Linked DNA regions of Danio rerio. The protein of the gene in region 1 purifies or fractionates together with the protein of each later gene. This does not show direct contact. Links are inferred from orthologs where the notes say so. Each region holds a gene or a part of one and is shown on either strand. Other genes may lie near its edges. The genes, in order: ciao1 and narfl.

What was found.
Region 2: the proteins of ciao1 (region 1) and narfl purify together in Homo sapiens (affinity purification with western blotting; 3 studies listed by BioGRID and IntAct, with this or other methods). This does not show direct contact. The link is inferred for Danio rerio from reciprocal best matches to the Homo sapiens genes CIAO1 and CIAO3.

The regions. Positions count from the first base shown.
Region 1 is NC_133183.1:6,297,843-6,302,180, forward strand, and holds the start of ciao1 (probable cytosolic iron-sulfur protein assembly protein ciao1), read right to left. Parts: upstream 2,842-4,338; 5' UTR 2,733-2,841; coding exon 2,594-2,732; intron 1-2,593. UniProt on the Homo sapiens protein: Key component of the cytosolic iron-sulfur protein assembly (CIA) complex, a multiprotein complex that mediates the incorporation of iron-sulfur cluster into extramitochondrial Fe/S proteins.
Region 2 is NC_133178.1:17,544,444-17,548,280, forward strand, and holds part of narfl (cytosolic Fe-S cluster assembly factor narfl), read left to right. Parts: intron 1-1,757; coding exon 1,758-1,887; intron 1,888-2,809; coding exon 2,810-2,882; intron 2,883-2,973; coding exon 2,974-3,111; intron 3,112-3,837.

The DNA.
Region 1 (4,338 bases):
TAAAACTTCAAAAGTCTTGTAATTACCACCAGTAACACCAAGGATTTTCCAATGAGTATTTCAATGAGTGCCCTGTAAAGGGTTCATATTTTATATTATTTAAAATTGTATTAATATTTTGTTATCATGATGGAGCAAAATGTAAAAAAATTGTCAAAAACAGAACAGCAAATACATTAAAAACACAGTGAGACCCCAAAATAATTATCTAATTGCATTTGAAATATTTACTTTTCCTTTAAATCTATAAGTTTTCCCTCTCAATAAGCTTTTACAAATTTTAAATATAATAAAAATTAATATTATCAAAATTGTTTTGTGTTTTATGTTTGACTTACAAGAGTACACTATTCCATTGTGTTTGGCAATGCGAGCACTTGCAATCCTTTTGGAAATACCTAATAGATGTAATCTCTAAAACTATTGTTAAAGAAATCCCTGTTTGCCCTAAATCTGTGTTCTTGGTCTTTTCCCACCTGCCTTATCGCTGAAGTCATATGAACAGAAGTTTTAAAATCTGTGTCTATTGCATACGAAATGCCTGACTGCCATTCACTGGAGAAGTATTCATGGTCCATCTTTGTCACTCTGGATTGAGGAAATGTCTTCTTGTATAGCAATGCAAAGACTGACTTACTCAGTCAAACAAAAAATGCACATATTTTACAAGATTTGGGACTTCTTTCTTTATTTTTTAAGTAAGAATGGCCTGAACGTTTAGTAATCACAAACAATGTGACTGTGTTAATGTGCACTGTGTTTGTTATGACTAACTTTAATATCTTTTTCACTTTCATTGGAATGTATGTGTGTTGAACTGTCATTGTCTTAATGTCTTTTTTTTTCAAAATTGCCCTTTTTATTATTATTATTTTATCTTATTTTAGTTTATTTTACTTTTATTCATTTATTAATTAATATTTTTTGCATGTACTGTATGTGTAACATATATATATATATATATATATATATATATATATATATATATATATATATATTATGTCTCTGTCGGGATGGGGTTGGGTGTTCTTTGATTGGTATTTGGTTACTAATACATTATGTATCACATTTTTCTGAAACAATAAAAGTATTTAAAAAAATTGTTTTATATATATTTTATATATGGCTTCCAGCTAACTCTATCAAACCTCTTCAGCTGCTTCAGAACGCAGCAGCACGAGTGGTCTTTAATGAACCTGAAAGAACACGTCACTCCGCTACTCATCCGTTTGCACTGGCTGCCAGTTGCTGCTCGCATCAAATTCAAAGCTGATGTTTGCTTACAAAGCGACTTCTGGCTTTGCTCCTTCTCATCTGCTCTCACTTCTGCAGATCTATGTGCCCTCCAGAAACTTGCGTTCAATGAATGAACGTCGCCTTGTGGTTCCGTCCCAAAGAGGGAAGAAATCACTTTCCCGAACTCTCGCATTCAATCTGCCCAGTTGGTGGAATGAACTCCCTAACTGCATCAGATCGGCAGATACCGTTCCTAAGGTATGTGCACGATTTTTTATTTACTTTTTTGTTTGTTTTTTAGGACAACAGCATCTCCAGCAGAAAAGATATCCAAAGATGCCGTATAAATTGTAAAGAAATCTGTGTTTTTGAAACAAATGAAGACAGCAGAAGTCAATAATTAATTTCAATTATTTAGCCTGACATGTTTACTGCTCCAAAATATTATAAATCTTTCAAAAAATAAAATATATTGTATTCAAAGGAGGAAAATTTTGTTGTTTTTTTACCCAGGCATTTAAAAATAACTTTTAGAGCAGTAATTACAATACCGTGAAACCAAGGTTATCATACCGCCAGTATCTTATACCGGCAAATATTTTTCTGACCCCATAACTCTGTAGTTGTTTTAGAAAATATAAATATGTTTTAATATGTTTACATATACTTTCTCTGCGCAATTATGCTTAACTAATAATTGTCACATCCAAAATGCTGGAATTGCTCACACATTAGGGTACAACGGTTGTCCTTGTGCTCAATTTTGACACCAACTATAAAACCATTTTTACACTACAAAAACAATACTCACACACAATAGCATTAGAAAATAAAGCCTGTACTTCAGTCAAAACCTATGGCCTCTGATTAAGTTAAACATTGGTGAAATACTCCACAATGAAACCTGAGGGAAACCTAGACATTCAGAGTTTGTGATGAAGATGAGATGGTTTCTTTGTGCAAAATAGATCTGAGGATTGAAATAAAATGTAGCTGATTTATTTTAATTAAGATAACGTTAGAGTTGGGTTTTATATTCGTCCATTCATTAAGTGACAACTTGTGACATGCTTCCTATAATGTTTATCATGGTACTTTGTATATTCGGTCTGAAATCACATGCAAGTATGGCTTAAAAACAACATTAACACTATTTATCTAACTGTAAACAATGATTTACTTTGATAATCATTAGCTTTATATTATTAAGTTAAGGAGAAAGTCCGAATGTCTAAATATAAAACCAGTTTTGGGTTTAGTGAAGGGCGAACCGTGTATACATAATTCTAATACAACAGAAGGGTTAAATAAATAGATTTAAACGTGTGCTGTACACATGTATTTTGCTATGTTTTACCTTCTTTGCCCCATATTCTTATCGCACGGTCTCCGCCGCAGGTCGCGAGCGTCGTGCCCGCGGGATTCCACGCGACGTACCAACAGCGCGAGTCCGGGTGCGCGCTCACCCTGTGCTGTAGCTCCAGCGCGCCCTTCATTTCATATAACTGTGTGTTATTAATTATTACTATGTGACATGTAAATGTTTCCCTGTCGGCAGCACTGTTCTCTCTCGGATGTCACACAACTTCAAGTCTTCTGTTTATCAGCTGCTTCCCGCTTCCTGTTTTGTGCTTCAGTGTCTTGCGGTTGATAGAAATGCGCGGCAGTAGCGCCACCATCAGGACTGTAGCGTTTCATTCAAGGGATAGTTCACACAAAGCTAAATATTTATTTGCTCACCCTGAAGTAATGCCAAACCTTTGAACACAAAACAAGACATTCTGAAGAAAAAAAGCAGCCGTTGACATCCATAGCTGGAACAAAAACTACTACAGAAGTCAGCTAGTTGTGTTTCCATCAGTGGTGGAAAGATACTGAAAAATCCTACTCAAGTACCATTACTTGCCTAAAAATGAAGTGCAAGTAGAGTAAAATTATATGTTGTGAATATTACTCAAAGTATGAGTAAAAAGTAGCCCTTTCAAAAGTACTCAAGAGTAGTGAGTATTACGCTGGTAAAAACTGATGCGTTGTAGTTTGTGAATGTGTGTAAACGTAAAATTCTGTAGTGCATTGAGTTATTGCCCAGCAAGCACACAACGTCATAAGACGTTAATATTAGGTTAGTTTTAGGTTGTGATGTCAGGTGATCAAAATTCAATATCTAGCCAGCGTCTAAGGATAATAGCCGCGTTTTCACTATCGCGCCTAAAGCGAGCGAGCCACGGCCAGTCGCGTTTCCACTGTCACTTCCGGGGGCTAATCAAGCCAAATCAGGGCTTTCTTGGGGCCAGCGGCCGGCCTTTTTCGGCCCCCCAAATACCTTGGGCCAAAGAGGGCCATCTGGGGCTTTGGGGCGGAGTGAAAGGAGAGGCGGGCACAATTTTCTGATCGCACACAAGTACATGTGCCAAACACATAAACAAATAAATAAATAAACAAGGGAAAGAAAACATCTGGAACAAATAGGCTGGGGTCTTTTTGCGTATGATCGCCCTTATGTTTCTCTTTTAAATGTAAGGCTGTTGCATAAAATAATAAAGTAGTTTTAATTTATATAAGTGACTTTTCTTTGCTGCGTCCTCCTTGATGTTTCAATAACGCGTAATAATCTTTACACCATATTAAAGACACAGCAGACAGTGAAGGTTTTCGAGAGTTTTTGTCAAGTTTAAAAGGTGTGTTTGTGCGAGTTTAGATGCCTGTATGTGTGTGAGACCAAGGAAAAGAGCTCTTCCTTCACAACTCTGTTGATGCCGTACGGCTTTTTTCTTTTCTTTTTGTTGTTTTTATTTATTTTGGAGTTAATACACTATATGAATACAACAGAAAGACATTAAACTTTACAAATTTCGTGTCCACTTTTGTAGGCTCAAAACAATAGTGTCATATCTAGATAAAATAGCCTAAGCCATATTGAAATAATTTAAAGAATTACAAATATCAGATATAATAAAATCACATTAAATAAATAAACCAATATAAAACTAACAAAAGCTAGCTATAACAATTAGGTACTATATCAAACTGTTTTAAAGCCTTATTAAACTTTCATTTTTTAAAAGCCTCTCTGAAAAAAAAAAGATTTTAAATATTTTCTAA
Region 2 (3,837 bases), on another chromosome or scaffold:
CGAAATATTTTCTGAGCCTGATTTGAATGTTATGCAAGACTTAGTTTGTTCTTAATATAAATGTTTTTTTATGACTTACTTGTGTTGTTGCTCTTATTTGTACTAATTGTAAAGTTTGCATAGGGCTTTGACATTTTGTATGGTAAAGTTTTTGTTTGTCAGCTTTCACTAGAACTCCAGAAAAGACCAATGATGCACTCCTCTATTTGCATTGAATATTGACATTACTAAAGTAAACACAGTGGCATGCGATCTTCACAAATCTTTTACTTAAGTTAACAGTGAGTGATATATATATATATATATATATATATATATATATATATATATATATATATATATATATATATATATATATTTTATTTATTTATTTATTTTTTTAATGTTTTCACTTAATAGTGCATACTCACATGTTCGATGTTGGATTCACTTGATTTAATATTAACATAAACAGCATTGTTTTTATTTAAATGATTAATTGATTTTGAAAGGAAATTGATGTTGTTATTTCAAATATTTGTCAAAGATGTTATATACAGTTAAAGTCAGAATTATTAAGCCATCTGATTTATTAGCCCCCCTGTTTTGATTTTTCCCCATTTTCTGGTTAACAGAGACAAGATTTCTTCAACACATTTCTAATCATATTAGTTTTAATAACTCATTTCTAATAACTGACGTATTTTATATTTGCCATGATGACAGTAAATAATATTTGACTAGATATTTTTCAAGACACTTCTATACAGCTTAATACATACAGTTAATTAGGTTAACTAGCCAGGTGTGCATTTCCCAAACAACGACGTAACTCGCAGCTTAACTAACATAGTACTATGCATTGTTTGGGAAAAGAACGATGTAGTGACTAGTGTTTCCCAAAACCCGTAGTTTCTCTCGCAGATCCATCGCTTGAACCACGTTAATTATAATGTAAAACGCCCAGAATAATGCTCTAAACGGTGTGGTAAAAAACTTCTTTATAGAAAAACCCCATCATTTTTTTGCGCAAATTGTATTGTTTTACTCGCACACGCATAAAAAAAATCAATATCAGTTTTAGTAAAAACATGCACTCACTTTCTAAATAATTCAAATATATGTAAACAGCACATATAGGGCTTGTGTTTCCTGTACAAATATTATAGAGAATATTATATATTCTATTCTAAAACATAAAATTCTGATAATATAATAATAATAATTCTGACTTCCACTTCATATGCATACACACACTCATACATACATGTTTCTATAGACATACAGTTGAAGACAAACTTGTTCGCCCTCCTGTAACATGAATAAAAAATCTAATAAGTATATGCTAAGGTCAATATTAATATATTTAATTTCTCAATTGGCTACAGAACAAACCACTGTTGTCCATTGACATGCCTAATTAACTTGTCTAGTTAAAATAAGTAAACTAGTTTTGCCTTTAAATAGAAAAGACAAAATAAATTAGTTATTACAAAATAGTTATTAAAACCATTATGTTTAAAAAATATGTTTTTAGTAAATGTAGGAAATATTTGAAAAAGAACAAACATTTCACAGGAGGGATAATATTTTTATCTCTGTTATCTAACTGATAACTGTGTATATATACACTTAACTAAATAACTATTTTTTTTTTTACTTCTTTATATTTAAATGACATTTCTGATGTCGATATTCATTTCAAAGTAGGATATATTGAAGCTTTGCTATGTCAGATGAGGTATGAGACCTTTATTCTCCATCTTTTGTTATAATAGGGTGTTTCACCACAGATGATTTACCACGTAACTGTGATGCCCTGCTATGACAAAAAACTAGAGGCTTCCAGACCAGACTTCTATCTCAGTGAGCACGAGACCAGAGAGGTGGACTGTGTCATCACTTCAGGTGAGTGAATCTAATCACGTTAAAGCGACAGTTCACCCCCCAATATCAGCTGCTAATTTAGTCCCTCTAAAGACATTGAAAATGTCGGGGCTTTTTTATTTGTTCTGTAATCTGCGGTCCTTCTCTATTTCTAAAATGAAATTAGTGACTACCGACATTCAATTTCTGCAGTGAAACACAATCATTACATGCAAGCTTTTATTTACAGTCTAGTACATTCACATGTATATGAATAGAAGGCAATAGGGATCAATAGTATGACCGCACCTTTACTTGTAATCATTACAGGGTTGTGGTTTGTCTGTTTAAATACAGATTAAATACAGTAACTTGCAGATCTTTGCTGACAGAGAGAACTGGTTAATCCAGTAATCTAAAATAAACCGGTTGTAACTGATGGCTAGTGCAGAAATCAGACGCCACTCAGGACCATTTGTCAAGGCTGTGAATTACAGGTTATAATGCTAAATATAACGTTCAAATATTTGGACAGAGTTATTGTTTTGTCTGAATACTTAAATGTTTCATTAAGAACCATGGGTATATTTTTTGTTTTGCCTTTGTATGTCTTTCAGATTAATATAGTGATGGTTACTATTGACCAGGGCCAGATAGAATCTACATTTAAAATCACATTTAGCTCACATTTGCATAAGTAAATAAATAAGAACTCTCTGTTTTATGTATGCCTGTGGGAGCAGATTCTGTGTGGATCTGGCATTAATTCATTTCATGGTCAGCAATAATCGCCAAAAATCTTCTTTAATGTTTTACTGATAAAAAACAAATCTCCTACATATTTGATTATCTGTGAGCATGGAGCAGCAAATGTTTATTCTGGTGTGAACCATGCCTCAAAAAGACAAACTAAAGTCAACCATTATGACTATTAGAATGTCTCTGGATTTTTTCTGATTGACAGGGGAAGTTTTGAAGATGCTGGAAGAGGAGAAGGTGTCCTTGAGGGATGTTCAGCCGGCACCTTTAGACACTATGTGCGTTCTGCATCTCTTCACAGTCTAATTGAGCTATACATTATGAAATGGAGTCGTCTGGTGAGTTTTGTGATGCGAATGTGTGTTTTAGGTTTAGTAATGTGTGTGGTGAGGAGCTGCTGGGCCACGCAGGAAGCGGATCTGGCGGGTATCTTCATCACATCTACAAACATGCTGCCAAACAACTGTTTGGTGTCGACGTTGATGAGCTCACTTACAAGACTATGAAGTATGTATTATAAATATGCTTCATGCTTATGTATTTCTAATGCAAGAAATATATGAGCAAAATATAATATATATGGCAGTTAATCAATACTCATTAAAGCATGTGACAGAAGGAATACCTGCAGTAAATGCATTGCTTATCACTTGTATAGCTTTTTCATTCATTCATTCATTTTTTTTGGGCTTAGTCCCTTTATTAATCTGGGTTCGCCCCAGCAGAATAAACCACCACTTTATCCAGCATCTGTTTTACACAGCGGATGCCCTTCCAGCTGCAACACATCACTGGAAAACGTCCATACACGCATCCATACACACATACACGTTTTAGCTTATTCAATTCACCTGTACCACACATGTTTTTTACTTGTGGGGGAAACCAGAGCACCTAGAGGCAAACCCACACAAACTCGGGGAGAACATGCAAACTCCACAGAAACACCAACTGACCTAGCCGGGGCTCGAACCAGCACCCTGTGCGATTGTGCTACCCACTGCGCCCCCATGCTGCCTTGAATATCTTTTTTTGTTCTTTTTTTTATTACCCTTTTTGATTTAAAATATTCCCATCAACATTAGTACTGATATGGCATTAAAAAAATAACCAAATAAATAAAAAAAAATAACCAAATGTAAATAAATATGACAATTATTTCTTACACATTAAAGCATTTGGTTTAGCATTTGACAGAACGAATGTTTTACCATTTAAGATTTAAAATTTCCA